2 linked regions of the Arabidopsis thaliana genome follow. The protein of the gene in region 2 interacts with the protein of the main gene of each other region in a pairwise test. Each region holds a gene or a part of one and is shown on either strand. Other genes may lie near its edges. The genes, in order: MUB5 and UBC28.

Region 1 (16,222 bases), 5.5 Mb from region 2:
TGAGAGGTTCTTAGAAGACAGATGACTCTCTGTAGGAACTGTAAGGACATGAAGTTGTTGGAGATATAAACCCTTTCGAGATCTTCCATTGATCTGTTTAGAAACGAGTAGAATCCGTTTACTGAGTTTGAACAAGACTGATCCATTATTGACCCTTAAAAAATATTTGGTGTTTGTTGGTTTGTTTGGTTGATTATTGGTGAGATTATAGGGAGAGAGATTTGGGAAGGAGAGAATTAAAAGGTTATATAGAGATTTGGATGTGTATGTATAGATGAAAAGGAGAGTGAGAGAGAAAGAGAATAATAAGAAGAAGAGAAGAAGCAGAGATTATGTAAGGATGAAAGTGATTGTTTGGAGCAATGATGGTTGTTTCCTATAGAGGAGGAAAATGATCATTGGTATATGCTAATACCAATATCTCAATTTTTCATATCTTTTTAACTTAATTTTATTATGGAAAGAAATTGTTATTCAGAAAAAAAGAGTTGAGAATTGGAAAAGTACTGGTTTTTCATGGAATCCATATAAATTTGTCATCTATTTTCTGGTACATCGGAGACATAAATGAAATTAGAATATTAACTCTTTTTTTGTCTAGAAGTTACTCATATCATATCTTTCTTTTTTTCTGCTTGGGATTTATTAGATAGATTCTTTGTCCGAATAAAATCTCTAGTAGTTGATGATTAGTAGAGCGAATAATGATCATGCTTTCAATACATAAATAATCGAATATTACTAGTAATTTAGTATACGACTTTAGCATTTTTAGATTTTGTACAAAGGCATCTAATACCATTTCATGATTTAGGAGTTATAACTCGCTGCAGAAAACAAAGAAATTGAATAACAATTATCATTTAGTTCAGAACTTCTGAACCTTGTGTGTGTGTGTTTTAGTATAGCTTTGTGTAAAAATAGTTTGAAGCACAAACAAAAGTTGAATGTATAAATTTGTACATAGGTATAAGTTACAAATATTCTGTAACCATAATTACCTAATTTAGTCTAACAAATGAAACCATCAAGCAAACTTGATTGTGTGATGATTTGTATTAATAGTTCATATACTAATGGCTCAATGAATCGAGATAGATAAGATAATGTTGTATAAACATTTAGATTCGTTCATATTATAATACTGTAACTAAAGTATACAAGGAATGAAAAATCAATCAAGTTCATACCTCCAAAGTGGTATTTCGGACCCATTCGACGGCGGATACCAAGAAAAGAAGTAGTACTATTTTAAAAAAACTTTTTTTTTTTGGTCAAAGACATTATATATATAACATATAAATGACGCAGTGGAATATTTAACAAAACTAAAATTAGTTAATGCAAAAGGAAAATAAGTTGCTTTATTCCCGTTATCAAGCCGGCGCGTATTCTATACTCAACTCATTTATAAATTTTTTAAATTTCGAAACCTTTTTTTTTTTCCATTAACCACCAATAATTATCACTAATATACAAATTTGGTTCTTCGGTTAGGATGATCAAGAATAAATACGTCATATCGGGAAAAACAACCACGGGGCCAAATCCTTAAATAGTTTTGGACAAAATCAAAAACAATTTTAAATATATAATATATATATATATATATATATATAATGTTCCCTTAGTAGACAAGGAAAAAACTGTTTCTATTCGAATCAATAAAACAAGAATCCAAAATTATTTGGTCAACAATTAGTGACTCCATATTAATTACGCATGTGTTTCTTTGTGGATGTGTGTGTATATTTAGTGTGTGAAAAATTGAGTGGTGAAGTGTGTGGGAGAGAGGGGGCCATCAAATCTAATGGAAGCGTCGGGCGACTCAATAATTTTTGTTTCGCCATTAATTACCTTTGTTTATTTTGTTCTTAGACATCTTTTTGGGTCACAATTTTATTAGTATTATTTCTTTGTCAACAAATCAAACAGACAAAAGTATTATGAATTGATAGCAGAGAACTAAAAACCCAATAAATCAGAATAATATTCTTAAAAAACTCGGCAAGTCTAGAATATTGTATTATTGGTAGGAATATTTATATTAAAAATGTAAATCACAAAAAATCTACATGTTTTGGTCAAATGTAAAGTAATAATATGTATATTAATTACAATGTACGTATAAAATAGCTATCAATCCAGCAAAAGAGAAGAGTGCTAGTAGATTTGTGAGAATGTTTCGTTTTCTCAGTAATGGCTTGAGATAAGGAAACAACTGTTTTTGGTCCATACCCTCTCTTCTCTTTCCGTCTGCCGTTTTGAAATTGATCTTCCTATTTTCATATTACATTATTAGTCTCTTCACTTCATTTTCCCATTGAATTCCAGTTGAAATTTGAGAATGTTTATATATATATATATATATATATATATCTTTTAGTCTTTCATATATATATATTTATAGTAGTAAGTGTTCAAGACTTTGAACTCTAAGATAAGTCATTTTGAAAAGAGAATAATATGTACGACTGTAGTTTTCTTTATAGAGTCGTCTACGACTTTGTTAAAACTCGATTGGGAAAACAAGATTATAACAGCGGTTAAAAGTTTTGTAACTTTTATTGTAGTATACCCGATTTACCTAAACCAAAAGCTATGTGATCAACACTAGTAATCAAGTTTATAAGGTCAAAAGAACCTTTAAAGGGTGAAAAGAAAAGTTGATAAGTTAATAACTGATAAGCACTCCACTAATCATCTAATCGGACGGTGGAGATACATGGAAGAGTTGATTATTTAGAGGGTCAAGAACCGCTACTTAAGATACGTTTGATTGATTTCAATATTTTTTTAAAATAGAAAAGTAAAAGTGTTGAGCCGAAATTAGGATGCAAAGGTATATGCCATATCAACGTTAAATGGTAGAGATTTGTGGTTGTAATATTCCACTTATCATTGATGCACATGAAAATTGTAATTTGTTTTTTAATTACTTGTTGATGTGGTCCAAATTCTCGATCTTAATCATATAGTATGAACTAAAAGAAAGAACGATTGGAGAAAGTTGTACTGTTTATACATTGAACACAACAAGTGTTTTTATATACATATTGGACATACATAACTTAAAATTTTTTGTTTCAACAATGCAAGAATTTTGATCAACTGACTTTGTATGTAAATGCTAAAAAAATCTGAAGAAGATGGAGTTCCAAACTTGTGTTGGTTTGTGGGTAATTTCCAAAATACTACAACACTTTATATAAAGCTGCCAAACCAAATTTTCCCCAACCACCATCCGCTCTAATTCTGGCTTCACATCCCTATTAACCGGATAAAGTTATAAAGTCAACTGATTACAAAACAGAGTAGGTCTTCGCTTTTATACACCAGAGAGAGACCACTTAACTGAATTTAAAACGAGTTCTGGAAAAAATCTAGACTAATTCTTAGTAATTGTAATTGTTATGCGAAATTACATATTAAAGATGGCTAACTGAAGAAAAAACTGACATAAATTGAGTGACTTAAATATGTTGTAGCAACATAAAAGGAATATTAGTATAGAACAAACAACAAAAACATTTGAGTAAAATGCATATTTAGTGACATTAAGAGTAATGAAACCAGTAGAGATGTCGTAGGCAGTTGAGTAGCTTAATGAGGTTTAGGTCCACAGTATGGGCTTCTTCTGATATATTTTAATATAGTTTATGAGCACATTTCTCAATTCTATTTATTCAAAATTCCCTTAGAAAATAGTAGTAATTAATTTTAGTGACCCTATCTATATATATCTCTGTGTCAAGGCCGGCCCTTTTCTTCTCATTCTACTACACCCACAAGCCACACCTATTTATCATCATCACTCCTCCTAAAGCAAATAAATGAAAGAACAAAAAATGAAGAAGCTCAATATTATACTTACTTGTTGGTGTGTCATGTGTGCGTAGATATGATGTGGATTGTGTAAGAAACTAATGTGGCTACTGGGTCCTCTCATATGGGACCAAACTTCGTAGACTTTAGTATTTACATTCATAGAACCAAAACATTAGTCTCATTACAAAACATTTACCACTTATCCGTTAAGGCTATAGGCTACAAACAAAAGTTACCAGAATTGACCAAAGAATCTTACGAGATTTGTGATTTTGGTATATGCAATTATTCAAGTGTGGGAGTGAGTATATTAGATCTATGAAGGAGTTGAAGCCTTGGTCATCTTTAAGAGCATACGAGTGTGCAGAGGTCTTCTGTCCTGGCTTGTGAGATATTGGTGAAAGGAAATATCCTGAACTTTCCATTTGCCATGCACGTTAGTGTTAGCTGAGCATCACTCACCATTGCCTGTCGTATTCACATATAGTTTTTTACAATGTTGTAATCACTAATCAGACTCAGAATTTGCATATATATAGACTCAGATTCTAGTTTCAGGGTCACAACAAAGGTTATGGTTTAGATGAATATACCTCGCAGGAAGTAGTCATGTCGCTGCAGCTCCATTTTTTGGTTGGAACACAGTCAACATAGCGACACCAATGGCAATGACGGTTGAGATTGACTCCCCAGCATGCTGCTAATAGAACCCCGGCAAGTCTAAACAGAGATGGAAAGCTTTTTCATGTCACAAGAGCGTAGATAAAACAAAAAAAACTAGACCAAAAAGAGATTTGAGGTAAATTCTCACATTCCACAAAACACGAGCAGGCATATAATCCTTAATACCGGTCTGTCAAACTGTTCTTTAAGCCTTGTGGATCTGTTCATATCATCTTCAAACAATTTCCCCTTATGAGATGGAGGCATCTGTCTCAGTTGTGGTTTGAACAATAGCACAAATCCAAGGAGGAATCCTGATATGAAACCACCAATATTTGCAAAGTTGTCTATGAAAGGGAGAAAGCCTATCAGGAAATTCACAGTGAAGATAGTGAATATTATCGCCAAGGCTGAAATCTGTACCAAGCAAAAGAAAATACAATCAGAAAAGCTATGAGAAGAAGATAACAAGAGACAAAACAGAACCACAAGAAATCCTTGACCTTGCTGTTATATAGATTCCAGTTCTTTGCAAGTGCAGAAAGCATGGCTCCAATCAACCCAAAGAAAGCAGCACCAGAAGAGATTGATGGGATGTTCCGAACAAACAACACAGCAAACAGACTACCCATAATGCCAGAGAGGAAGTATATGACTGCAATCCTCACTACAAAACCAAAGCAAAAGCAGAAGAAAGGTGGATTAGAAAGGTGATAGATTCCATCCAAAACAGACTAATCAAAAGTCAAGTAGTCTAAATTACATGGTCCAAACTGTTGCTCCATGTATATCCCTACGAAAATCAAACTCCCAAGATTTATGAATAGATGAAATAATCCACTGTGCAGCCATGGAGATGTCAAAATACGCCAAATCTCATGATTCTCCGTCAGAGCTTTCCAAGAAAGACCTCCCATATGCTCTAACCTGCAAACTCACAAGAAAATAAGTAGTCCATAGCTTATAATCAGTCATTTGATAGCTCAAGTTACCCCTATTTCCCTTAATTTTCTGAAACATAGAGCTCTCACAAGAACCACCACTTGAATTAGATTGCTTCATCAACAGAATGTAGCACCAAGAGCCACACAAATAAACACACACACACACTAGAACAACACAGAATTGTAAACAAGAACTTGTCGGTTGTCACTGTAATCAGAGATTGAGACACTATGAATCAGCTGAAACTCATCAATCTTGGAAACTAGTATCATCCAAATCCAACAAACTTCAGCAACCTATCGTTACCGATCCAAAAGATGAGCAGAATGAAACATCCAAAATTACAGGTCTAAGCAACGAAGCATCCAAAATCCATCTCTAAAGGATCTAACAATTCAATTAGAGATCGATTCCAAAATCAGTTACAAGCAGAGACCAAAAGCGAAATCCGCCGGAGAGAGCTACTTACGTTGAGGCGGAGGGACCAAGCATAGGATTCTCGGAGAGAGACTGGAAAGAGAATCGGCCAAGGAGTTTAGCGGAGCAGTGACCGTGAGAGTTCCCGGAGCAATCGTTGACGCCCATAGTTACAGCGAAGAGGACGATCTGAAGAAGAACGAAGACGGAGACAAGCCAAGTGTCTCGTTTGATTTGCCGTGAACGGTGACGGAAGAATGAGATCTTGTCCCAGCTAGAATCGCCGGCGTTAGAAGTGGTAAACGAGAGATTGTGAGAGATTTCATCGATCTGCGTCGTCTTTGACTCTGTAGGAACCTCCATTGTTGAAGGTGAGCGAGAAATTAGGGGATGATGACGAATGGGTTGTTTTATACTTTGTAGAAATTGGCGGGAAAATGTTATTGGAGAGCAAACCGAACGCTAACCGTTTCACGATCCGGTTCGGAATTGATTTAGAGCGCGTGTACCGCTTACTATACACGTCATTATCATTTGTATTAAACTCAAATCAAAATTTTAAAAGATATAGCTGGATTAATTTTTTCAACGCATTTGATTCTGTATTTTATTTTTATTAAAAAAAGATTCAGTGAACATATAAAAAGATTAGTATCATTAAGCCATTATTAATTACTATTTTCAAGCAAAGAATGTATCGTGTTTGTGGAATGTACGCAAGGAATGATTCATGTATTCGTGACGGTTGGTTTTGGTTGGCGTCTAATATGACAAGTGATCATAAAAGCTTATGTTAATATATCATCATATAATCCAAATCATTTATAGTTAGTACTTAGTATGCTAAATATACGTTGCAAATTTATCGTATATAGTCAACCAAAAAGGTAAATTCAGATTTGTATAAATGTAAATGGAGAGATGACTGTATCTTGAGATTTCTGGTAGTTATTATATAAGTTGAGAAAGAGAGTAAGAGACCCAATTATTGTTATTTTCTAAATTTGGCTCTGCTCAAAGACAACGGAACTCTCTGCTTTTCTTCTTTCTAGAGATCTTTTCTTGAGGTAATAATTTAAAGATGGGAGATGAAGATTTAATAGAATTGAAGTTCAGACTCGCAGATGGTACCGACATTGGTCCAAGCAAATATAGTCAATTCATGACTGTTGCATCTCTCAAGGAGAAAATCATTGCTCAATGGCCTAAAGGTAAATCATTTTCTATGTTTCTTCTCAAAAGTTTTGCTATTTGTTTAAAGGTGAAGTTGAAAATCTTGTTGTGGACAGACAAAGAAAACGCACCAAAGATGATAAATGAGGTTAAGCTCATCAATGGTGGGAAGATACTTGAGAACAACAAAACACTTTCTGAAGCAAGGTCCTTAATAACTATTGGTGAACTTCCTGGAATTGTAACTACAATGCATGTTGTTCTTCGTCCTCCTCTCTTTGAGAAGAAAAAAGGTAATTTCTATACATTTTCTCTTCAATTCTTGAGTGTTTTTGTGTGTATTTTGTATATCTCAAAGCTTTGTTTTTATGTTTTCTTTTGTTTCTTCAGAGAAACTGCAGAATGATCCTCCAAGGAAGAGTCACTGTGTATGCTGCATTTTGTAGCTCCACTTAGAGATTTTTGATCCTTTATACAATTTATTCCATTGGAAAAAACTTTCCATATCTTAAAGTCTTCAACATGGATCTTCATTACCAGAATGATTTTGGTTTTTCTTCCTTCCTTTTCTTCTTCATTGTTTATCAAAAATGGCTTAAGAAAAATTACTGTGTTGTTGAAGATTGAGGTATTATGTAAAAATTTGTTCATATGAGTGAAAAGCAAATATGAGTTGCTTGAAAGGACCTGTTATAACACAAGAAGATAACTAGTTATATATAACTTTAGAGCACTACAATATTTACTTAGAGATGTATATCCATCCACATAGTAACAAATGCTCCAACTTTTATCTGTTGTGATCACTACATCTTCACACAAGCTTGAGCATTTCCTCAATTAGATTGTTTATGGCTCTATACTTCATCATCACAATGTTTGCTTCAAGAAAGAGCTGCAAGAGTTTCAGAAACTGAGTGATGATAAAATAATTACTGTGTTTTTCTTTAAGCATATTTATCTGGAAGCTTGGTCTGACTATACAGATCTACTAAATCAGCACATGCATTGTGGAAGGTTGTAGGGTAAGTTTTGATTAGAAAGGGACACCATTTTATGGCCTTAAGATGGAGAGTAGGTCCACTATCAGTTAATGGGTGAGGAAAATGATGGTATGACATGACAATATGATATAACATGAGTTGCTTTCAATCAACCTATATAGTACACTAAGATTATTATGGATGACTATATAGTACACTAAGTTTATTATGGATGACTAGTTCTGAAAATGACCCCTTTTTTGCTTTTGTCCTTCAAGTGCCTAATTCTCTGTTTTTTCCAGCCTAGTTAAACTAGTAACCACAAGTCAGTAAATCAACATGATGTAATCAAGAATTGGCTATGGCAAGTTCTCGAAACGATTGTATGCATTATGCAATCATATTCAAACCATAAATCCTACATCATATAGAAAACAAAATGATATATATGATCATGAGGAAGCAATGACTCAAACAGTGGTAACAAGATAGTGCTCGAGACAAATTGAATAGGGGCAACGTATGCACAACATGACACCACTCAACTTTCCCATAAACCTCATGGTCGTTGCGCCTCTCAGTCATAAAGAAATAGAGACAACTCTCGGAGGTACCTAAAAGCCGTCGGGTCTCGTAGAGCTCTGTGGAAGCGAGAAGAGAGCGGAATCTCTTGGAGACTAACGAGAGAGTTGGGTAGTACAATCTAGAGATGCGTGCTAAGCAATTCAAGAGTAGATCGTCTGGGAGATATGGTATACTAACCTTTTCAGCTTCAGATGTGCTACTCAACACAATCTTCTTCTTCTTCTTCCTCATCTTCACCGACGACTTGATCCTCTGGCAGTCACCGACCAACACAGTTCTTCTTCTCCGACAAATGCTTTTTTCTATTTCGCTAATCTCAACAATTTGGGTCAGTAAAATGCTATTGGGCTGGGCCTGTATTCTTTTCTTTTATTTAATTTAAATCGTAAGCCTTTTTACGAAAAAAAAAACAATTGGAGAAGAACGAGATTTCGGGGATTCTGATGGTTCTCAATGGGCCTTTTAACTGATTCAAGCCCACTCTCTTTTTTTTTTTTGGTGATTTCAAGCCCACTCTCTTAATTCACTTCCAAAGAGTTTTATTAAATTTAATATGTTACTAAAATTTTTTATATCATTTAAAAATTAATAGTTAATTCATTTGTAAAGGTAAAATTGAAATTTGTTTTTTGTTATGAAATTATGAGTACAAAAATAACTGTATTTTATTTCTTAGCTATTAAATCGCACACTTTAATTACTATATATATTTTTCTTTCAACCAAAAAGTAATTGGATATTAAACATCATAAAAAATAAACTATTTTTTTCCGGATTTTTTAGTTTTTTTTTTCTCTTTTTAAATATATAGAGAATATTAAATAGATTGTGAAATATGTTATATGGTACGAACGATGGGATAAGGATTCTCTTCTTTTGATCCTAAAGTTTGGTTTTCTTTTCTTTTTTCTCGTAGTTGCCTCTGCATCACGACGCCTTACGTGTTTAAACACCCACATTATATAACTTTAAAGAAATGGTCTACAATTATATAATCACTCTCTTTGTATACTAATCTAGTATAGTTAACGAATACTTGCATTAAAACTGGCTGTAGCTCATTCGAAAGTGGATTTTGGAACCTAATAAATGATGACATAACTAAAACGAATTAGATGACTATATATATTAACTCTATAAACACTGAGGATTAGTACTATTCAACTCAAGATCTTATATAAATAAAGTAGATTAGCACTATGATTAGAAGTGACCCCATGTTAGATATTTTTGTACTTTTAATTCAATCATAAACATGTACTATGCTTGTTAGAATTTAAATGTTGATGCAATAACGACAATAATACAAAGTAGTATTAAACTACCTTTTTGTCTATCAATGTTATGATTTGCGAAAATATTATAAATGCAAGTTGTTTAGTGTGTTGTTGCCTGATTCACTTGGACGATTATTTTTGACTTAAAAATGATTCTCTACTAATAGAATAAAACGTTGTAATTGTTATATATAGATCTTGGCGCAGCCAGGCAGCCTCCTCGAGTCCTCGTGTTATTCTACACTTAACTTTTATAGGCCAATATTATTCCCTCACCCTTTAATTTTATGTTTATATATACATTGAAGGAAGCTGGAGAGTACCTTCTATACTAATATAAACTAAGTTGTAATTTGCATAGTTTAAAGCGTTAATAACATACATTTTTCAACCGTCCATTGATCTTCAATCGATTTTCAAAGATGCCAAATTAATTCAAAAGCGTTAATAATATTTGTGTTACAAATTAAAAATGTTGTTTCTTATATTGATGTTTCCTTTTACTGTACTACGTTTTTTCCTACATCTACAGAAATATTTGCTTTATGTTGTTCTTATCGATAACAACTTACTTCGTTCCACATGATTTTTCACAAAAATCTCATCGTATTTTCGATGTGGAATTTGTAACACCAACAAAAGTATGTGGAAGTGTTTTGTGTTTTATTTTCAGCGTCAAAATGATTATGAATTGTCATTGACACACGTGGTGAATACAAACCGAAATGTCGAATACTGTTGTATGTTGCTCTTTTGCCGAAAGACAAAAATGGAGTTAGTATCGGATCTTTGACATTTTCAAAAAAAAAATGAATAACGAATATATCGAACAATATCTAATATAACCGCTCAAATAATTAGATTATGCAAGAACAAAATTGTCTGCATTATCCAGAAATGGAACCACATAATAAGAAACGTGACTAAAAACACAAACAAATCTCAGACAAAAAAAAAAAAAAAGAGAGTGAGAAATGCTATTTATATTAGATGAGTGTGAAGTCCACTACCAGCAATCGGAAATATGATAGATATAAAATAGAATAAAGATTTGGCATATATTTTAGGTATACACTTAAATTAAAACTATATGTTCTTGGCTTCTTAATTTGGACACGTTTATGGATATTGTGGTCGATTCGATTATCATTTGGAAGCTAAATTGGCGGCCGAGTCAGATTCCTCTCAGGCCTTCTCCAATACATTCTTGGATTATCACTCGAATCTTGATCACTTTTTGTTTATTAATTGTTTTGAAACTTTCTAATAGCCATCATACTTTACTACGATCAAATAATTTTTAGTTAATTACCGTTATGAATCCATATCGTTTGTTAAATTATAAAAATTATTTTGTACTTTATTTTATATTACTGAACCAAAATCTAAAATCAAGTGTGTATGCGCTTTCAAAATCTCTAAGACAAAGTGTAGTTGTTTTTAAAGAAACTATTTTTACGTCGATTGCTGATTGTTGTGCCCCTTTTCACAATTTTGATTATCCCTTCGAGATTAGTTTGCATCTTTTTAGTAGATAATTTTGGATTGATCTGTAGACAAAAGGAAATATTGATCGGTCATCGGTCCATTAAGAAAATAAAAGTTTTTAGAGAAGTCATAACAGCTACAGCATGCGAGCATAAGATACAGTAAAAAAAGACTAAAGTATAATCAAAATTTCATCATTAACTTTTCTGTCGTTTAGTATGTGAATATTTTGTTTTCACTTTTTAATAATTTGATGGATACTGAGAATTTCAGTTTCAAATTAGTAAACGATAAAGTAGATGATAATTAAATTCATGTCATAGCCATGAACGAATGTTATGTTAAAAAAATTTCATGTAAGTAAATTCTTTGGAGTTCGATTCTTCTTTTGTCCTTACACAATCAAAGATTTTTCTTTCAACTTTTTTTACTTAACAGCATTAACTCTTTCTCAGATCTTCAATTGTTTTCCTAAACGAAATTATCATTAAATTGTTTAAAAAATACACATTTAATATAACATATATCATAACAAGATATATTATATTTATGAAAAAGAGATGTAGTACTACAGCATATGGTGGCAAACAAACCCACTAAATTCAGTAAAATGGAACCCACCAAATTTATCTATAAATAAGTCCCCAAACCTCTCCCCCAAAAATGCAACAACACTCATCTTTCCCAATATAAGTTTTTACCAAACAACAACTTTTGTTTTGCCTTTCCTCAAAACATAATTTTGTCTTATTTTCTAAACCGGTAAAAGATGTCGCTAGCTATCGCAGAAGTTTACACGGTGAGGAAGTTTCACAGAGAGAGTATGAAGAAACCGGCCAAACAGACGGTTACCGGCGAGGGAGATGAAAAGATTGGCGGAGGAAGTTTCAAGGAGGCGCCGGTGAAGTCAGGTGGGTGTAGAAGATTCGGACGGTGGTTTTTTGGGAAGCCGGGAATGAAGAAAAGCTCTGCTAAAGTTTCGGATCCCATGGCGATTGAGTGATGAAGAAGAAATTAAAACTTTTCTCTTCTTTGCCTTTTTTTTTTTTCTTTCTTTATTTTGTTTTATTTTCATTGGTCTTTTTTTAATGGCTTTTTCTAGTGTCTTCTCTTTTTCTTTATTGGGTGATTTTATAAATAGTCGGTAAACATTGTACAATATGAACTACAAAAATATGAGAAAATCTATATATGTATGTAGAATGGATGTATTCCCTAAATACCACAGCTAGTTTGATAAGTTTTATGCCAAACCAACTAAACTTGTATGCCACGATATTTCGTATTTCAGAAAATCGAAAATTGTTATTTTTTAGTGTTTTTTAAACCATATATATATATATATATATATATACAAAAATACAAACATATGAAAATAAACATATCTAGATTTAGTTTTTAGTTGGTTAACCATTTGGCACTTTTGACATAGTTTTAGTTTAATAATCTATCACTAACTGTACTAATCTTCTTCTTCTTTTTTTAACTGCAACTCACATAAAAGAATATCTAGATTTAAACCATGATATTGCATAAACCATTAAATTCGGTTGTAGCAATATTTATCCAAATATGAATTCGGCGCTATACAAATATAAAAACAAACTATTTTGGCGCTCTTATTATATGTCACGACAAATCACACACATTAAATATATACAAAGACACAAAAACAAGATAAAATATATAGGAAAATACTTTTAAAAGAAAAAGTAGTGGGGTTTTAAGAATATAAAGAAAATTAGTGGATGTTCAAAATATTGAGTAGTGAAAAATAAACCAAAACAAAAATAATCTATGAGGGTGATTAGGAGAAGGTTCTGCTCGTGACGGTTTGTTTTTTCAGCCAATCAAAAAGCTTTTAAGTGGATCTCACTAGATTTCATAGCATACGCTAACGACCTAACGTTAAAGTCAGGCAAAATCTATGTTTAAAATTTGCGTCGTTCAAAAACCATTCCACAAAAAATACAAGCTAAACTGGCGGCAGAGTCTCAGTTCAATGAATCCATTACGAGCTTTGTTTGAAGAAATATTTAACCCACTGACTCATTAATAAAGCAACCAAAACAAAATCCTTTAACTATAAAATAATTAAACGAAAGTAAAGAACACACGAAAACAACAATAAAAGAAGAAAAAGCAAAAGTAAACGACAACAAAATTACCTTAAATATATATTCTCTCGTAACAAGTTGGCATATCTAATCTAGTTATATTGAGATAGTGTCATGCATCATGATATTAGATGTTTTATCTTATAACATTGCTTTTATTTTTACCGATTTAACAAAATCGTATATTGTATGCAGGTAGTCAAAATTGATACAGACTTGTTTTATATCAGCCAAACATATCAATTCAGTCAAGTGAGTTAACAATGTATGTCAACAAGGGGGAATTGAGCAATTTAAAGAGTTAAAAGACCATTAACTAAACAGACAAAGAGTTTAGGAGCAAAAAGTAATAAAGTAATAATAAAAGGTCAAAAAGTGTAAGAAAAAAAGAAAAGAAGAGGAAGGTTCTGTGCACGTAACTTGAATTCGTAAAAGTCCATTGCTCCTTCTTCCTTAAGCTCTTTGCTAAATCTTCACGCAATGACTCTCTCCTTCAAATTCAATCCTCCTTCTTCTCTTCTATTCTCTTCCCGCTTCATCCTCCTCCTACGTCATCCGGACGCTACGTTTCCCCGGCGCCGGCGGATTCTACCGGTCAGTTCTCTCCGATCAAACTCTTATGCTCATTGTCTCCTGGAATTTCAACAATCTTTTGATTAGAACTTTTAGATTGGTGTTCTGATGGGAGAATATTGTTGAATTGACAGATTCATTGCGTTAGATTTGTCACTGAGCCCTAAGAATTTGGGGAATTTTGGTCTGCTTCGGCGAAGGATCGATGGAGAAATCTACCAAATGTGCTGTTTGCTACAAGTCGTTTCGTCCCTCAATCTGTGTAGATTGTGTTAATCGCGGGTATAATCAGGTTCTCATACAATCTGATATGATCTTGGAATCTTTCAAATTCTTACGAGTTCGGATTTGATGGCACTTTGTGTGCAGGTTAAACGAATACAAGGTCAAGTTGGACTCGTTGAAGAGTCTTCGGGAGGTTTCGTATTTCAGATTAAGTGGCTTACTTGTCACAAAGGTTCATTGTTGAGTTTTAAGTCTGATCTGAGATTCATTTGCTTTTCTTGTGTTAAATGATGTCTTATTCTTGCTTGTGATCTTCACTATTGACCAGGAGAAAGCAATTAGTCAACGTTGTTGGAAGGAGCTTCAGAATGAGAAGCTTGCTAAGTTGCGGGAGAAGCTTCAGCTACAAGTGGAGAAATTGCAGCAAAGTCTGAACATACGCCCTTAAGTAATTCGTCTTTCGCCTTCGTAACAATAAGTCTAAATAGACCTACTTCATGATGATGCAGGCAAAAACACATTTCGGAGTCTATCTCGCAATCTGAAAGAGAGATATGGCATTATTGAATCAACTAACGTTGCTGTAATGTGATACTTTCTTTTTTCATTTGCTGCTTTTTCTCTCTTAAAAAGGGATTTGTATGATATTAATTTTGCTATGGTTAATGTAAATAGTCTCATTTTTTGCAGTTAGAGGAGAGCCGTGTTCACCAACTAGAGAACCACTATTCAGATACTATTGGCAATCACTACTTGGTATATGTAAGATCTATATCTCATTATACTTTAACTCTATGACTATGCTTGAACTAGATCTTTTACTAGGACTCATATACTCATTTCTGTGTCTCACTTTTTTAAAAAATCCAATCTCATATGTACAGATCGATCTAACTTCGGAACGCCTTTATAAACAGGCTTTGGTTATGAAACAGATATGCAAATTATTCCCTTTATCCCGGGTAAGGACATCCAACTTTAGGTTCTTATCTCTTCAATTATTAAAATACAGGTTTCATAGTTAATGTATAGAGTCTATGCCAAAAAGAAGTTGGTAAACACATCTTCTTTCTTCCAGAGGCCATCTTGGAATTTCTCTTCAGACTGCTGTGTTATTGTACACATCTTCTAGGATGGTTTTACTGAATCTAACTATGTTCAGGTGACAGTAGAGGGGCAGAACAAAGATGGGTCTAGTGTACAATATGATCAAATCTGCAATGCTCTCTTACCACAAGGTCTCAACCCACTCTCTGTTCCGCCAAAAGAGCTCGCAGCCTCATTAGGGTAACATGTCCCCGTCTTTTTACAGTAATTTTGCTGTACAGAAATAATTTAAGATATATGTAGACTGTAGATCAATCTCCTAAGTGCATCTTCTACTCCTGCAGATCATTTTACTCATAATCATCTATTATATTTGATGAATTAACATTCCCATGGTTGGTGGTTGGATCAGGTACATGGTGCAGCTTCTGAATCTTGTTGTCCATAAGCTCTCAGTGCCTGCACTTCATAACTTGGGTTTCGCGGTAGATGCCAACTCATTTTCACTCAATTTTATGCTGAAAACAGTTGCCTCAGTAACTAAGTCTGAGAAAATCGCACATACATACACAAACTCCCTGCATGCAATCTTTGCATAGGAAATAAAATTGAGAGATAATTTGTTAATATTGACAACATATTACTTTTCATCTGGAAATTGATTGATTGACTACAAAAAAAAATCTGTATTGTTTTGTCTCAGGGTTCTTGTTCAAGAATATGGGAACGAGATTCTTATTGGAACTCTTATCCATCTTCTCCAAGGTAAACCATATTTGACTGATAAGCACTTATAATAGTATAAAAAAATACACAGGAAGGATAAGATATTAGAGATCTTTGGCCATTTTTTAGTGGATATTTGGGAGCTTTTTGTCTTAGGTAGGGACTCGACTTTGTT
Region 2 (16,750 bases):
AGGGAATTTGGAAATGGGTGTCGCAGAAAAAAGCTTAGATCTTTCAGAAATGGAAGTAATTTCACCTTCGCTAACGATTTCGCCGGTGATGTTACTGTTACAGGTCAGGTCACTGATGAAGACAACTACTACAGTCTACAGGGAAATGAGAAATATAGCTTTTCGAAATTTTATAACAGAAAAAAATATAAAAAAATCAATTGGGCCGACGGAAGAAAGCCCGTGAATATTTGTAGCTTGTTTTACAACTGAAACCAGATTAATCCTACTTCCCTAAAGTCATAAGATGCCCGGCTCGGTGCAAACTCAAATCCATCTTTCAGCTCTTCTTCTTAGTAGCGAGAGGAGTAGTTCTGCATTTGGTACCTGATACGTAAGTTGGAGGTGATGGAGGTGGTGACGGTGGAATGACAGGAGGAAGCAATCTCGGAACTCCAGAAGCTTCCGGCCAAGCTGACATTTCCGGAACATGAGAGAAAATGGTGGCGTAAGTTCTTTTTAACCGTTCAAGAGTGTAACAGTCGTCTACATACTGTAAAGGGTTGAATTTCAACTTCTTGCAGACGGCTAGAGCGTGTAGACATGGGAATTTGTAACGCTGAAAATCCCCGCATGTGCAGCTGCAGTCGCTCAGCTGAACAATACATTCACCCTTATCTAACGCTGTTGCAACCTGAAAGGCGTTATTGTCTAAGGGCGTTACAATGTAACTGTAAGTAACGAAAGTTGTCCTGAATTCTTCAAGCTTGTCCATGACAGGCTCGGTGTACACATCGCCGCAGTTAAGAGAACTTCGGCTACAACTAAAAGACTTGTCAAACTTGGATCTCAGTTCATCAAATAGAAGAAGCACGGAACCTGTCACTACATGACCAGCCTGCTCAAATGCGTTACAAACTGCAAACAAAGCTTTTGTATTTATCTCCATGATTCCATATCTCCGACCATTGTCATGAGCCAGAGCCCACCGATTTTGAGGGAATTGGTCTAACCATTTCCGAGCTTCTGGGTTCTTCTCTTTGATGTCATTCATGTAGGAAACAAACTCATCCTTCTGACTCGTGGACCCAGCCCGCCTAATGCGAGCCCCCAGGCAGAAGCTTGGAAAAACACGAGAGAATTGGGAGTAAAAATGATTCAGACTGAACCTGTGATAAGCCCAAGGTTCTTGCCACTGAGACCCAGATTCGTTGACAACAGCAATTATGTCGGGGTGGGGACTGGAAATGAGGCAAAGGCCTTTCCTTTGTGTAACCTTCTCTCTGATTCCAGTGAGAAACCAACGCCAAATATCAGTAGAAACTTCTTTAGTAACCGCAAAGGCAAGTGGAAAATATTTGTTGGCTGCATCAACTCCTGAGGCAATCATCAATTTCAATTGGTACTCACAGTTCAAGTTTTTGGTATCCACTACGATCAGAGGTCTACAGTGTTGAAACCCTTCTATAGACTGTGGGAACGCCCAAAACACACCACAGAAGGATGCAAAATTAGGATTAGGAAAAAGATCATACTTCCAGTCCACAAGGAGTCCATTAGATGAACAAAGGGCAGACATTAACTTGGGAAAATCTTCAAAACTTTGATCCCAATCTCCAAAAACTCTTTTGATAGCTTTCTCTTTCGCTAACCGCACATCAGAAGTTTCAAGCTCATAGCCAATTTTTTTTTTCCACCACTTCTTCAACTCTGAAATTGTTTGTGTGGGCATATACCTGACCGCACGTTCAATCTCATCTGTTTCAAACTCTGATTTGAAATCTTCTGGAACAATGGGATGACAAGTATGTGGACCAGTATACTTGATTATCTCGACAAGTCCGTGCTTTTTCATTCTAGCGGCTCCAAGTGACCACTTGCATTTCCATCTGATGCACTCAAAGATATACTCGTCCTTTGCAGTCTCTCGTACTACACACTTTTGCTGAGCTTTAAGGGAACACCAGTCCACTGCCTTCTTCAGCTCATCGCCATCTTTAAAGCACAATCCTACTCGCAAGTCATGATCGTCAAGCCACAAACTAGACATACACGGTTTTGAAACATGACCAGAAATGGAATCTTTATTCAAAGTGCTGCTATCAACCAAGTGTACCACGCCATCTGATTCTGAGTTTCTATCCGTCTCCCTCTCTAACTTAACATGTATATCGGTCTTCTGTCTTTTCGAAGAACCACCAAGAATGTCTGAAGGCGATGAACAAGTAGCAGGATCAATAACTCCAACGGATGTCGATTCCACTTCCAAATACAGGTCAATGTCTTTAATATAAGGATGTTTGGTTGTAATCTCAAGCATAGTCTCCAAACTAGTGTCGTCCACCACGGGAAGAGGTTTATACTTAACCCTAAACGCTTGAATATCTGTAGGATATCTACCGATTATACCAAACTTTGATCTCTTCCTATCTAACCCAGTAACTTGATACAGATGATCCAGCAATTCGTTAAACTTAGTCTTTCCCTTCACAGTGGTCATTCTATAATTGGACCCTTCATAGTATATGCCATTAGTGCCATCCTTGATGCAACCGTTCCAGCAACAGAACACCGGAACATTTACTTCAGACATGAGCACAACAAACCTGCACGGAGTTCAAAAGTAAAAATGTAAACTTTGGGGATGCAAACCCTTTTCTCTGACGTTAGGGTTTCTCCGGCGGTATGAGGAAGACAAAACGACAAAAAAATAAAAAACAGTTGGGCCAAAATAACAAGGCCCAACTATATGTTCATCAATAATAAACCCGTTCATCAGTAATGGGTAACCCGTTTAGCTTGGTTTTAACCAGACTGAATTTTCACATACAAATAAACCTGAACCTGTTTGTTTCCTAAGTCTAGTTCTCTAACTTTCAGGTCTTCTTAAAGTGGGCATGAATAAATCCTAAGGAGATGCTTCATGTTAAATCCTAAGTTTCTTCTTACTTACTGATACAGAAAAACTAGGATCTGTTTCTTCAATCACAAACAATCGATCAATCAACCAAAATAACACTTCCGATTAATATTCAAGGATAACAATGAGCTCCAATGTTCATAAAACAGGGGAGACTCTAGATTCACCTTGCAAGAACATTGTTCTTCACAGAGGATGAATCATAATATTCGAAACCCAGAAACCTCAAAGAGAAGAACAACAAACTTCAACAACTTTCACGATTATGATAAAATGTTCCTGATCCAGCTTCTTTTAAACGCAGGCAATCCACTCGTTTCCATCTTGGCCGTTACTTCATCTTTTAATCACAGCCCTCCACGTGTCTCTGCTCCCTTATTATTTCCCATATCACTTACTAACTTACTCCACTCCTCATCCTCGGTCTTGTCTTCTTATGAACTGAGCTCATTTTGGATCATCGTCTTTATAGATGACTTTCTTGGGGTGAGGTCGATTTCGAACTTCTCAGCTGTAAAACCAGTTTAAAACAAAGCAAGTTACAAAGACGACATCGTCGGTGAAGAAATAAAACGATCTGATCTTAACTCATACCAAGTCGCTTGAGGACGTCAGCAATCGCGGTCTGTCAGGAAATAACAAAGCTATTATTAGAGACTTATAGATCAATTTATCTTCTAAACGCACATAAATTTTTTGAGGTTTGAATCCTAACCGTTTTCAAGTCCACAACTTTCAAGATATCAACAATTGCATTTCTCAACTCTTCATCACTAGGAGGCACCTTGGCTTTGTCATTTACTAGATCAAACAAAGACAGATAAACACATGGCGTCAGAAACATAAAAAGATAAAGAAAGATATATCAAAATTGATGATGACACTATACTGTAATTCTTCATGTTTATGAATCTAAGGAACCATCGTTTAATAAGTACTCAGATTGTTCTGAATCCTAGTCTTGACTAAAGCTATCTTTCGTATTGAATTGTATCCATGCCATAGTAAATACTTAAGTTAATATTGAAAGTAGAAACATAATGTAATGCAACTAGTAATGTGTATACCGATATTAGTTCAGTTTTCAGTCATGATTCTTGGTTTATTAAGACTATTAACCAAGTCAAAGCAAATTCAGGATTAATCGACTGTTAGTTCAGGGCAAAACAAAATGCAAATTCACGTTGATTTTCACAAACAAAAGCAGCAACACATGTTTTTGTCACGACACTACGATATATAACCCGAACCGGTTTAATCATACTTGCCGAAAGTCAAAAGATACTACATAATCACCAATCAGTTAGCACAATCCATACAAAAACCTCTTAAGAATTGACTCAGTTTCGTACCAAATCCATCTAACAGGTTCAGATTTTCGTCTTACTAGTGCGAGGAGTAGTTTTCCATTGGGACTTACCTGATACGTTAGGTGGCGGCAGAATGACCGGTGGAAACAGTGTCGGAACTCCAGAAGCTTCTGGCCAAGCTGCTACTTCCGGGACAGGAGAAAAAGTGGCAGCATAAGTTTTGTATAATCGGTCAAGAGAGTAACAGTCGTCTACATACTGCAAAGGGTTGATTTTCAGCTTCTCGCAGACTGCTAGAACGTGCAGACATGGAAACTTCTTCAACTGAAACTCCCCACACGTACAGGACCATTCACTCAGCTGAACGATCCATTCATCCTCCTGTAATGGTTCTGTGACTTGAAACAGACCTTTCTCTAATGGCATTACAACGTGAGGGATGGAATCTGTCATTAACTTTTCGAGCTGGTCCATGACGGGTTTGGTGTACATATCTCCGCGGTTGACCCTACCACTGCTATCACAAAGACCCGAGTAAAAAAAAAATCTCATCTCATCAAACAGAAGCAGTGCTGTAGCTGTCACTGGCAAACCAAGAGACTGAAAGCTTTCACAAAATGCAAACAAATTTTCTGCATCGATCGTCATAACTCTGTATCTCCGACCACTGTCATGAGCTTGAGCCCACTGATATTGAGGAAATTGGTCTAACCATTTCCGCGCTTCTGAGTTCTTCTTTTCGATCTCATTCATATAGGAATCAAATTCTTCCTTCTCACTTGTGGATCCAGCCTCATACACAAGGTTCTTCAGGTAGTCGTCTTGAAAAACATAGTGAAATTGGGTGCATATATCATCCAGACAGAACATGTGATAAGCCCAGGGTTCTTGCCACTGAGATCCTGGTTCGTTAATAACATCAAGTATATCAGGGTGGGGTCTGGAGATGAGGCAAATGTCTTTCCTTTGTGTTACCTTCTCCCTGATTCCACTGAGAAACCAACGCCAGGTATCTGAGGATACTTCTGTGGTAAACGCAAATGCAAGTGGGAAATAGCAATCGTCAGCTTCGACTCCTGAGGCAATCATCAATTTCATAGGGTACTTACCCTTCAAGTCTTTGGTGTCCACTACGATCAGAGGTCTACAGTGTTGAAACCCTTCAATGGACTGTGGAAACGCCCAAAACACACTACGAAAGGAAGCAAATTCAGGATTTGGAAAAAGCTTGTATTGCCAGTCCACAACTAGCCCATTAGATGAGTGAAACGCAGCCATTAGATTGGGTAATACTCTAAAACTCTGATCCCAATCTCCAAAGACTTTTTTGATCACTTCTTGTTTTGCTGCTTGCATCTCTGAAGTTGCAAGCATGTCGCCAAAATTTTCAAACCACCAATTTCTCAACTCTTCAATTGTTAGTGTGGGCTGTACCCTGATCAGACATTCAATCTCATCTGCTGCGAATTCCACGTCATAATTATCTGGCCCTATAGGACAACAAGTATGTGGAGTATTACACTTGGTTATCTCAACAAGTCCGTGCTCTTCAATTCTAGCTGCCTGAAGCGACCACTTGCATTTCCATCTGATGCATTCAAACGTATACTTGTCCTTCTCGGTCTCTCTTACTACACACTTTTGCCGCCCTCTAATAGAGCACCAGTCCACCGTCTTCTTCAGCTCATCCCTGTCTTTAAAACACAACCCTACACGCAATTCATGATCATCAACCCACAAACTGGACAGAGGCCATGATTTGAAGTACTTGACTCGGCGTTATTCGCTGTCAAAGTAACAACCTGTTCCACCCCATCCGAACCCGAGTTTTTATTTGTCATTTCTCTATCTACATATCCATGAGTGCTACCATTTCCCAATGCAGCATCTGCCTCGTCTTCAATCCACCCGTTACTGTTATCCACTCCCTGAACCTTTAAACCATTAACCCTCTCTAATTTAACAGATGAATGTGTCACATAACCAGTTGCTTCTTGGGTCCTCTGTCTTTTCAAGGAACTACCAAGATTTTCTAATGGCGATGAACAAGCAGCAGGATCAATAACTCCTTCAGATGTCGATTTCACTTCCAAATACAACTCCACAAGTTTAATAGAAGGATAATTGCTTGGAACCTCAAGCATAGTCTCCAAACTAGAGTCGTTTACCACCGGAAAATGTAAATACGTAAACAGATCCGGTGAAAGAACTGCAGGGTACCTACCAAAGATTGAAATCTTTGATCTTTGCTTAGCTAATCCAAAAATTGGATAAAGCCCATTCAACAGTGTGTTAAACTCAGTATTGCGCTTAACTCTGATCTTTTTAGGACTAGATCCTTCATAGTATACGCCATCAGAACCATACTTAATACAAGCATTCGTATAACACAGCAACATAACATGTTCTCTCAAGGTTTCCATCGCCATGAGCACAACAGTCCTGAAGTAAAATCAAAGAAAAATGTAAACTTTTTGGGCCTGAACTCATAACATACAAAACACTAGAAAACTCCATATCTAAAAACAAAGGCTAAAGATTTTTAGGGACAGAAGCAGATAAACCCATTTAGGAAACATAAACCCTGAACAGTGATACTCAAACTAAGACTAGTAAAGTTCCAAGTACCTGAAAAAGAAGGGAGATTTACCAGCTGGGTGTCGATATCAAGCTCGGATTTTTCAGAAATGGAAGTAATTTCACTGTCCTCTCAAGAATTTCTCCGGTGATGTGAAGACAGCTGCAAGAACATCATATGACAAGGGAAACTCACAAATATTGCATTTCGAAATTTACTACAGTTCTAAAAATGAAAAGAAGAAAAAGTACAGAAATAATGTACAATTGGGCCGAAATAAAAAAGCCCATTAATGTTTGGGCAAAATAACAAGCAAATATTTAAATCCTATTCCCGCCTAAATTTTCATGTCCCAATGATTTGATACTTCTTCTTTTCTTAAAAATGAAATAAAAATCAATAGAGATACATGAAAATTAGAAAACTGGTAAGTACGATTTATTATACGTTTTTAGAGGTTGATTTTATCCACATTAAGCCTCCTCGCAGATACAAACTTTGTTGAATATTAGCTGACAAGATATGAGGATTAGACGGAAAGAGATCGTAAAGAAGAAGAAGAAGAAGACAGTGGGTTTAAGTTTCCGATCCCGTTTAGCTTGGTTTTCATATCGCTTCAGGGGATCACTCAAAGTTGCAGCACTACAATATATAATCAGGACTAGTACATAATACATAATCACTAATTAGTTGACATAACCCACCAAATTGCCCGATTAATTTTCACATACAAAAGCAGTAACATATCATGTCTCCGTTCTTCCTAAATGTCAAAAGATACTACATAACTAACATAACCACTAATCAGTTAACATAATCCACCAAAATGCCGGCCTTGCTTTCAGGTCTTCTTCTTATTACTGCGAGGAGTTGTTTTGGCTTTGGACTTACCTGCTACATTGGTTGGGGGCGGTGGCGGTGGCAGAGGAATGACCGGGGGAAACAATCTCGGAACTCCAGAAGCTTCCGGCCAAGCTGATAACTCCGGAACAGGAGAAAATGTGGCAGTGTAAGTTTTGTATAACCGTTCAAGAGTGTAACAGTCGTCTACATACTCCAAAGGATTGATTTTCAGCAACTTGCAGACAGCTAGAGCGTGTAGACATGGGAACTTGCAACTTTGAAACTCCCCACACGTGCAGCTGCAGTCGCTCAGCTGAACAGTCCATTCATCATTTTCTTGAGGCGCGGTGACCTGAAACGCATTATTGTCTAACGGCATTACATCATAAGTAACTGAATCTTTCCTTGACTCTGCAAGCTTTTCCGTGACTGGTTCAGTGTACACATTGCCGCATTTACGAGAACCACGGCTAAAACAAAAAAACTCATCAAACGAGTGTCTCAGCTCATCAAACAGACGCAGCACATAACCTGTCAATACATGATTATCCAAATGAGAGACATTAAAATCTTCAAACAGAGTTGTTGTCTCTATCTCCATGATTCCATATCTCCGCCCATTGTCATGAGCCAGAGCCCACTGATTTTGAGGGAATTGGTCTAACCATTTCCGAGCTTCTGAGTTCTTCTTTTCAATGTCCTTCATGTAGGAATCAAATTCTTCCTTCTGACTCGTGGATCCAGCCCGCTTCACAAGATCCTCCAGATAGTAGTCTCGAAAAATGCCACTGAATTGAGAGAGCAGATGACGCAGACAGAATCTGTTATAAGCCCAGGGTTCTTGCCACTGAGATCCGGATTCGTTAATAACAGCAAGTAAGTCGGGGTCGGGACTGGAAATGAGGCAAAGGCCCTTCCTTTGTGTTACCCTCTCTCTGATTCCAGAGAGAAACCAACGCCAACTATCAGTAGAAAGTTCTGTAGTAAACGCAAAGGCAAGCAGAAAAAAATTGTCTGCTGCATCAACCGCAGAGGCGATCATCAACTTCCATTGGTACTTACAGTTCAAATTTTTGGTGTCCACTATGATTAGAGGTCTACAGTGATGGAACCCTTCGATAGACTGTGAAAATGCCCAAAACACACCACGGAAGGATGCAAATTTAGGATTAGGAAAAAGATCATACTTCCAGTCCACGAGGAGTCCATTAGATGAATGAATGGCAGCCATTAACTTGGGCAAATCTTCAAAACTCTGATCGCAATCTCCAAAGACTCTTTTGATAGCTTCATTCTTCGCGATACGCACGTCCGAAGTTTGAAGCTCATAGCCAATTTTTTCTATATACCACTTCTTCAGCTCTGTAAATGATTGTGTGGGATGTATTCTGATCACACGTTCAAACTCATCTGCTTCAAACTCCATATAGGAATCTTGTGGCTCAATGGCACAACTACAAGTATGTGGACAAGTATACTTAATTATCTCGATAAGTCCGTGCTTTTCCATTCTAGCGGCCTCAAGCGTCCACTTGCATTTCCATCTGGCGCACTCAAACATATACTCATCCTTCTCAGCCTCTCGCATTACGCAACTTCGCTGCCCTCTAAAGGAACACCAGTCCACTGCCTTCTTCAGCCCATCAATATCTTTGAAGCACAATCCTACCCGCAAGTCATGATCATCAAGCCACAAACTAGAAAGACACGGTTTGGAAACACCAGAACTGGAATCTTGATTCAAATCCTTGAGGGAGATATTGTTATCCTGTGTCAAATTAACCACTTGCGCCACTGCATCTGAACTTGGATTTTTATCTGTCATGTCACCATCTCTACCGTTTCCAATGTCGACATCTTCTTCATCTTCAATCCACCCGTTACTGTTGCCCTTCTCTAACTTAACAGGTATATCCATCCTCTGTCTTTTCAAGGAACTACCGGGATTTGCCAACAACGGCGAACGAGCAGCAGACACAACAACCCCATCAGATTTCACTTCCAAATACAGTTCTACATTTTTAATAGAAGGATGTTTGCTTGGGACTTCAAGCATTGTCTCCAAACTAGAGTCGTTCACCACAGGCAAAAGTAGAAAATGAAGCATTGATTGCGGTTGAACAGCTGAAGGAAACCTACCGAAAATTCTAACCTTTGATCTCCGATCATTTACATCTAATCCAGTAAGAAGATACAGCTGATCCAACAATATGCTTAACTCAGTCTTTCTCTTAACTTTGATCATTCTAGGAGTTGATCTGTCATATACCCCATTGCTACCATACTCAATGCGACCGTTCCAGTAACACAACACCGGAACCTCCATTTCAGCCATGAGCACACCAAACCTGCAAGGAATCCAAAGTAAAAATGTAAACTTTATTGCTAAATCCTTGTTATGCACAACCCAAGAAGAAACAGCAGCCACCTCCTATCACTAAAACAACAACATGAAAGGCCTAAGTCCCTAAAATGTATGGAATGGTACATCAAATTCTACAAACAAACAAAAAACTAAATACAAAGCAAAATAAAAAATTCAGGGGATAAAACCCTAACATGCAAACCCTAAAAATTATAAAGAACCCCGAAAGATGAAAAATCAATTTTGATCTCTAAAACAACAACAACAAGGCACCGGAGCTGATAAATCCAGCAAAAAATTGTTTTAAAAAACCCTAGAAAACAAAACACAACAGTATAGTCGTCTAAGTTATAGATGTTTACATACCTGAGAAGGTAAAGGAGTATTAGGAAGTTTGGATTTTCAGAAATGGAAGTAATTTGAGTTGCATTAAGGAATTTCCCGGCGATGTCGTCACGACTGAGGAAGACAACTACACTCTCACTCTCGCACAGCTTTGCAGAATAAGAAATAAAGAGTTCGGAAACATCAAAGTGTTGGGTCGAAAATAGAAAGCCCACTAATAAAATTGCCTGACTTTTGACTACGAGAGAGATGATCTAACGGGAGATCCAACGGTTATCAACGAGACAAGTCACTCTGGGGATGAAAATTAAGAGAGTCAACATTGTTCTTTTTTTTTTTTTTTGGTAAAAAGTAAAAACATTGTTCTTTTTATCCCACATTTTTATCATATTATTACGTTTATGAATGTTAGCATGGACAATCCAAACTTTTGTATCTATAAGAGTTCATGATTTAATATGAAATCATTGATTCTTACAAGCAAGGAATATGGGAAAGGTGGAGAAAATTTCCCTAAATTGTAAACTATCTATAATAGGGTTAATATAAAAAAAGAGTCAAAGACTCAACGTATCTTTGGTGTGGTGTCTCGAAGTACTGGGGGGTTGCTTGTTCGCATCGCATTGTTGTTATTTCCACATTTTAGGTTATGAATACCACAAGACTTGAGACGAGAGCTGAGGACATTGGTCTTGATCTTACTGGTTTTAGTTACATCACAAAGACATGGTTGTTGCTCTTTCAAAAATTTACAACATTCGGTCGATATCTTTAATCCACTATTAACAACGTCCAAGCAAGTCTGAATCCTACTTTCTTCACATGATTCTCTGTCCCTCTTGGATCTACTTCCGCCTGCACCGATAGCTTTTGTTGGAAGCGGTAATGATGCCAAGAGAATGACGAATGTAATAAGCAACAATCCGACGGTCTTCATGCATGTATATATAGTTGTTTCTTTTAGATATACCTATAGCAAATATTTTGGATTCCTTTTGTTTTCTGTGCAAAACATGAGAATTTGTTTAGGTATTTCTTGGATAATGAAGGATTCCAATTGCATGGTATTGCGTAATGAACGCGTTTTTCCTTGTTAATCAACATGAACGTAATTAGTTGCTATGTAAATAACTAAATATAGCCTAAATGATTGGCTAAATCACTACATGAATTATTTTCAGTATTTAGAATATTTCATTGGTTAATAATAATACACCATGATTTACAGATTTTACATTCAAATCATCATAAATTAAATGAAAATTCAGATTGAATGAAAAGTTGGATGATCTAGCTAACCAATAAATCTACAGTTTATTGTTTCGTAATAATATGCCTTTTGATTTCGCTTTCCATTTCATAATGAGGTAACTTAATTCAATGGTAGATAAAGTGTACCTTTATTCTTTGATTTGAGGTATTTTTAAATTAATGCACATATGGAATCATTGATCCCTTACAAGCAAGGGAAATGATAAAGGTGGAGAAAATTTTCTGTAGGGTAAATTTATCACTTTGCATTTCATACAAGGGTAAATTTCGAATTAATATGTTAATCAACATCTTCAAAATCATGCAATTTTTATTTTATTTTTCTGCAAAAATGGTTTTATTTCAATATTTTCTCAAACACGGAATTTTGAAAATTTGGTAGCAAATGTCAAATGTTCCCATTTAATCATCGTCATACTTTGTTAGGTAAAAGCTCAAAGTTTCCAGCTTTACATAAATAATTTTTCTTATAATTTTTTGGAAAAAGCATAGAAACAAAGATAGGGAACATATGGATAATAAAGAGGTGAAGTAATGTTTTTGTTTGAGATTAAAGAGGTTTCAAACAAAGAGATGATAAAACATAGGAATCTAACTTATTTCATGGAAGATCCCTATGTGAAGAAGTCCTCTCTCTTTCTCTCTCTCTCTCTATTAAAACCGAGTCTGTGAGGGATCAAAGGACACAAACTTTCATCCCATTGCATATTTCTGAGTCCAGCTTCTCGCAGTAGACTCATACTTTGCTCTATCGGTTTTGTACATGTGAGCAATCTCTGGAACCAATGGATCATCTGGGTTTGGGTCCGTTAACAATGAACATATCGAAAGCAAAACCTATAAATTCACAAGAGATTTGATTAAAATAAGAGGAGATTCATTATATATCATCCACTGCTATTGGTTAAAGAGTGCTTTTTCACCTTCGATATGGTGAGTGCAGGACTCCATTGTTCTTTCAAAATGTCAAGGCAAATGCTTCCATTGCTGTTGACATTAGGGTGGAACACTTTTGTCCTGAATGCAACCTGCAAGAAAAAGAGCATTTTGAATTCCAGTTCATGATTTCAGTTTGGTAACAATGAATAATTTACCTTTGGTGGTTTGAAAGGATAATCCGGAGGGAAGTGAATGGTTACGAGAAAGACACCGCCTGAATAAGGACTATCAGATGGACCCATTATTGTAGCTTGCCAATGAAACATGTCTTCAGCAACTGGGCCTTGAAGATTTCACAATTGTTCATAGAAGGAAAAAATAGAAAGATTAGTCTTTTAAACATGATGATCTATGGCATTTACTGAAATACACACAACAAAACATGTGCCATAGCAATGTCCTGAGACTTCTCTAGCAGAAGAATGCATGAACAGTTTGAGAATCTCCGACAACAATCCTCTAACTCTATTAAGACCAACAATTTCGACGCATTATCCACTTATCATATATTTTAATAAACAAAACAAACATGTATAAACCTGAATGCAATAGATAACTAAGAAAGACTATCAGTGCGAGGTATCAAGTCTGTAAGATCCGTTATGGATACTTGGATAAACAAGGCAGCATACAACACCAAAAGCTTAATTCTAAGAAAATTCACAACTTTCAATAGCTATTTCCTAGACTATGATCATAAGATAACTGCAACGACCAATCTCAACTTTGTTCTAAGAAAAATCTCAACTTCCAACTGTTATCTTATTAATTATGATCAATAGTATCCAGGATGGGTAAATGGATCCCAATTTTTAACAGCTATCTTCTAGACTATGATTATTAGAAAGCTGTAATTTTCAATCAAGGATCAGTACAGCCATAAATTTGTTCTGTTCTAAGAAAAATCTCAACTTTCAATTGGTATCTTCTAAACTAAGATCATAACTTAGCGGCAATTACCACCTCAAGATCTCTAGATAACTTCGTTATAAAATTACGAAGACTAAAAAAGATTTCATTTTTTTGTTTGCTTAAAGATAAGATTATAAGATCTAACAACAAAGCTCAAAAATAGATCAGACACGATTTACGAGAGGAGAGGTAAAGACTAACCAGCACTGCAGGAAGTTGGAGGATCCTTCTGGAGATCCTTGAGCTCTTTCAAGATCCTTTTCGAAGCCATTTCTCAACCAAAAAAAAACTCCTAGATCCAAAAAACCAAACCCTAGATAGATTCAGCAACGCAACAAACAAAGGAAAAGCAAAGGTTGAAAATTTCCGATAAAGGATTGAGCTTTTTTACCTCAAGACAGATCCTCCAAACTCGGTTTTGACGATTCACTTCCTGCAGATGATTTTTGAGAAAGAGACAGAGAGAGCCTTTGAGACCTAACGAATAAACAAAGAGAGAGAAATTTTATTTATGTATGCTTCAAATATAAATAATGACAGCTATTTTCCAGCGAGCCAGAGAATCATTATTGGATAAACATACTTTTAATAAAAAATAAAGGACCCTCTGAGTTAGACAGAGTGTTTCATAGAGGCTTTAAAAAGGTGCTTAAACCCTTTAGGGTTTTTGTCTTCCAGCTAAATCGACTCTGACACAGAGATAAGCAGAGAGAGAGAGAGAGAGTTCTGAGATCAGAATCAATGGCGGCTAAAAGTACGTTGAAGATCAAAGGCAAAGCAAAACCATCAAAGGGATCATCATCATCTTCGTCCTCCTCTGCATCATCAAAGTACAAGGTCTTCAAGGATTGGACCAACTGGTCATTACAGAAAGCCAAAGTCGCGACTCACTATGGTTTCATCCCTCTGATCATCATCATCGGCATGAACTCAGATCCTAAACCTCATCTTTTTCACCTCCTCTCTCCCGTTTAATCCACAAATTGGATCTTCTTCGTAATGTTCTTCTTAGATGCTTTTACTTTTTTTCCCAAATTTGTTCTGTTTTCTTCGTTTTATGAAATGGATTTATATTTGTTTCTGATTCTATAATTCAAAGTCTCATTCTTTTTTGCATGATTCAAATTCAATAAAATCAAATGATCTATGAAGAAACAAAGAATTTGCTTTAATGGTTACTACTACTAGTTTGTGTTGTCTCACTCTGCATCAACTGATCGAATATCTTCAATCAATTTCAAAACTTGAGCTATATGAGGTCTTTCTTGTTGCTTCAGAGCAACACAAGCCAATCCTATTTGCAACATCTCAACCATCTCCTCCTCGAAACCACCTGATTGACTCAATATCTCCATATCAAACACTTCTCCAGTCCACTCTTTAGCCACCACAGATCTTATCCAGCTAGCTAAGTCCATGTTCTCACCTCCTGTTGGTACTAATTCTGCTTGACTCACTGGTGATTTCCCTGTCAAGAGCTCCAGTAATACCACACCGAAGCTGTATACATCCGAAAACTGTGTGCTTCTTCTTGTGTCTGTTATTTCAGGTGCATGGTAGCCAGAAGTAAGGCAAGTGGTTTGAGGAAGTGATCTCATGATTGTCGTCAAGCCAACATCGCCTATGCAGCCATAGCATTGTGAGTCTAAGAAGATGTTTGAGGATTTGATGTTTCCATGTATGAACTTCCCTTCGTGGATTTTAGCTAGCCCTCTCGCTGCACCGGTTGCTATTCGCAGTCTAGCATCCCAATCTAACGGTACTCGATGATACCTTCCTCTGTTTCCTGCAAAGAAAATGGAACCTTGTAGTTTCGATTTATCATCAGAATGAGAGCAATGAAAATAACTAACCGTGCAGTATTTCGAAGAGGCTTCCATGATTGTAATAGCTATAAACCGCGAGCTTATCGTCTTTGGAGTAGTAGTAAGCCTTTAGCTCAGCTACATTTTCATGTCTGATCATACCAATGATCTCCATTTGTTGCTCAAACTCTCGTCTTCCAACGACAACTTCCTTCAATCGTTTTACAACGACCGTGCTCATGTCCTCCATTGTTACCTTATAGGTTGTACCAAAAGCACCCTTCCCCAAAACTTCTGCAGATGAGCTTAGCAAATCATCTAAATCAAATAAGTGGTTTCTTCCACCAAAGAAGATGATCTTCCCGCCTTCTTCAGTGTTATCATCTCTAGATGTCCAGTTTCCTGGAGGAGAAGACGAGTCTCTCTTTCGCAACTTCCCGGAGATTCTAGTCTTCCCGAAACAAGTGATCATTATGAATGATAATCCGGAAACACACAAAACGCAAGCTGCAGACAGAATCAGCAAGAAAGCAAGTTGGCTTAACCCGAAAGGAGTCTTGCGTTGTTTCTTCCTCTCGGTAAGGTTGTTGCCAGAAAAAGCTGAACTTTGGAATCTTTGAAGAGACTTTGGTATTGTACCGATGAGCTTGTTGTTGGACAAGTTGATCTGACTCAGTTTTGGAAGATGAAGATTTGGAATTTCCCCTGAGAATGAATTGTTTGCAAGATTCAAGACTTGAAGGCTAGTCAATCCTGAAAGAGAGGTTGGGATGCTTCCGTTGAATCCATTGTTAGACAGATCAAGAACCTTAAGATTCTTCAACTCCGAGAAGATAGCTAGTAGTGGACCTGAGAGGTGGTTATGTTGTAGGTAGAGATGAGTCAAGCTCTTGAGATTTGTGAAATCAGAAGGGAAGTCTCCGGTGAAATGGTTCTTTCTAAGGCTTAGAAACTTGAGAGAAGAGAGACGACTGATGGTGAAAGGAGGAATCAAACCGTTGAATCCAACCGCAGGCAATCTAACGGATACAATTCGATCTCCGTTTTCGTTGCAGGTAACACCGGTCCAGCTATGACAAACGTCTGAGCTCTGGTTCCAATGGAGACGAGAAGAATTGAAACTAGACAAGAAATGAAGCAAAGCTTTCTTGTCGTCTTCAAGAGTCTGAGAGGAAATCAGAACAAAACAGAGAATCAAAGAGAAGAAGAACAAGAAGATTTGCATTGTGAAGAAACTAGTTTTTGTCTCTAACTGTAAAACAGAGAAATTTTCTTTAGCAGAAGAATTTGTTTCTGATTAAAAAAATAGATAAAAGAGTGATTAGAAAGATACGCCGGCAGGTTTTAGCCGGCAAAAAAGTCTTCTCTTATATAAGCTGAGAAAACTAAAAAAACCTTGGAGCCATTAAAACCATTGAGACCGTTTCTCTGAGTTTTGATCGTTGGGTGTATTTAATTCTTGCTTCAAGAAAATTCATACCA

The links.
Region 1: the proteins of UBC28 (region 2) and MUB5 interact in a two-hybrid assay, tested with the Arabidopsis thaliana proteins (one study listed by BioGRID).

Annotation. Positions count from the first base shown.
Region 1 is NC_003070.9:29,278,243-29,294,464, forward strand, and holds MUB5 (membrane-anchored ubiquitin-fold protein 5 precursor), read left to right. Parts: upstream 1-6,720; 5' UTR 6,721-6,934; coding exon 6,935-7,064; intron 7,065-7,142; coding exon 7,143-7,319; intron 7,320-7,416; coding exon 7,417-7,472; 3' UTR 7,473-7,840; coding exon of another isoform or gene 7,841-7,921; 3' UTR 7,922-8,098; downstream 8,099-16,222. Other genes in the region: AT1G77855 (BPS1-like protein), read right to left, coding at 1-146; KOM (Rhomboid-related intramembrane serine protease family protein), read right to left, coding at 4,174-4,296, 4,422-4,548, 4,640-4,908, 4,995-5,158, 5,255-5,418, 5,906-6,216; AT1G77880 (Galactose oxidase/kelch repeat superfamily protein), read right to left, coding at 8,433-8,825; AT1G77885 (uncharacterized protein), read left to right, coding at 12,129-12,362; AT1G77890 (DNA-directed RNA polymerase II protein), read left to right, coding at 14,255-14,331, 14,419-14,506, 14,603-14,702, 14,784-14,857, 14,965-15,036, 15,159-15,236, 15,437-15,561, 15,734-15,806 and 1 more. UniProt on the Arabidopsis thaliana protein: May serve as docking site to facilitate the association of other proteins to the plasma membrane.
Region 2 is NC_003070.9:23,830,776-23,847,525, reverse strand, and holds UBC28 (ubiquitin-conjugating enzyme 28), read right to left. Parts: upstream 13,976-16,750; 5' UTR 13,855-13,975; intron 13,777-13,854; 5' UTR 13,735-13,776; coding exon 13,665-13,734; intron 13,050-13,664; coding exon 12,924-13,049; intron 12,835-12,923; coding exon 12,707-12,834; intron 12,641-12,706; coding exon 12,536-12,640; intron 12,450-12,535; coding exon 12,306-12,449; 3' UTR 11,990-12,305; downstream 1-11,989. Other genes in the region: AT1G64255 (MuDR family transposase), read right to left, coding at 320-2,572; AT1G64253 (DEK carboxy-terminal domain protein), read right to left, coding at 3,334-3,410, 3,494-3,524, 3,615-3,700, 4,320-5,307; AT1G64235 (Bifunctional inhibitor/lipid-transfer protein/seed storage 2S albumin superfamily protein), read right to left, coding at 10,906-11,277; TOM7-2 (translocase of outer membrane 7 kDa subunit 2), read left to right, coding at 14,205-14,438; AT1G64210 (Leucine-rich repeat protein kinase family protein), read right to left, coding at 14,663-15,249, 15,317-16,493. UniProt on the Arabidopsis thaliana protein: Accepts the ubiquitin from the E1 complex and catalyzes its covalent attachment to other proteins.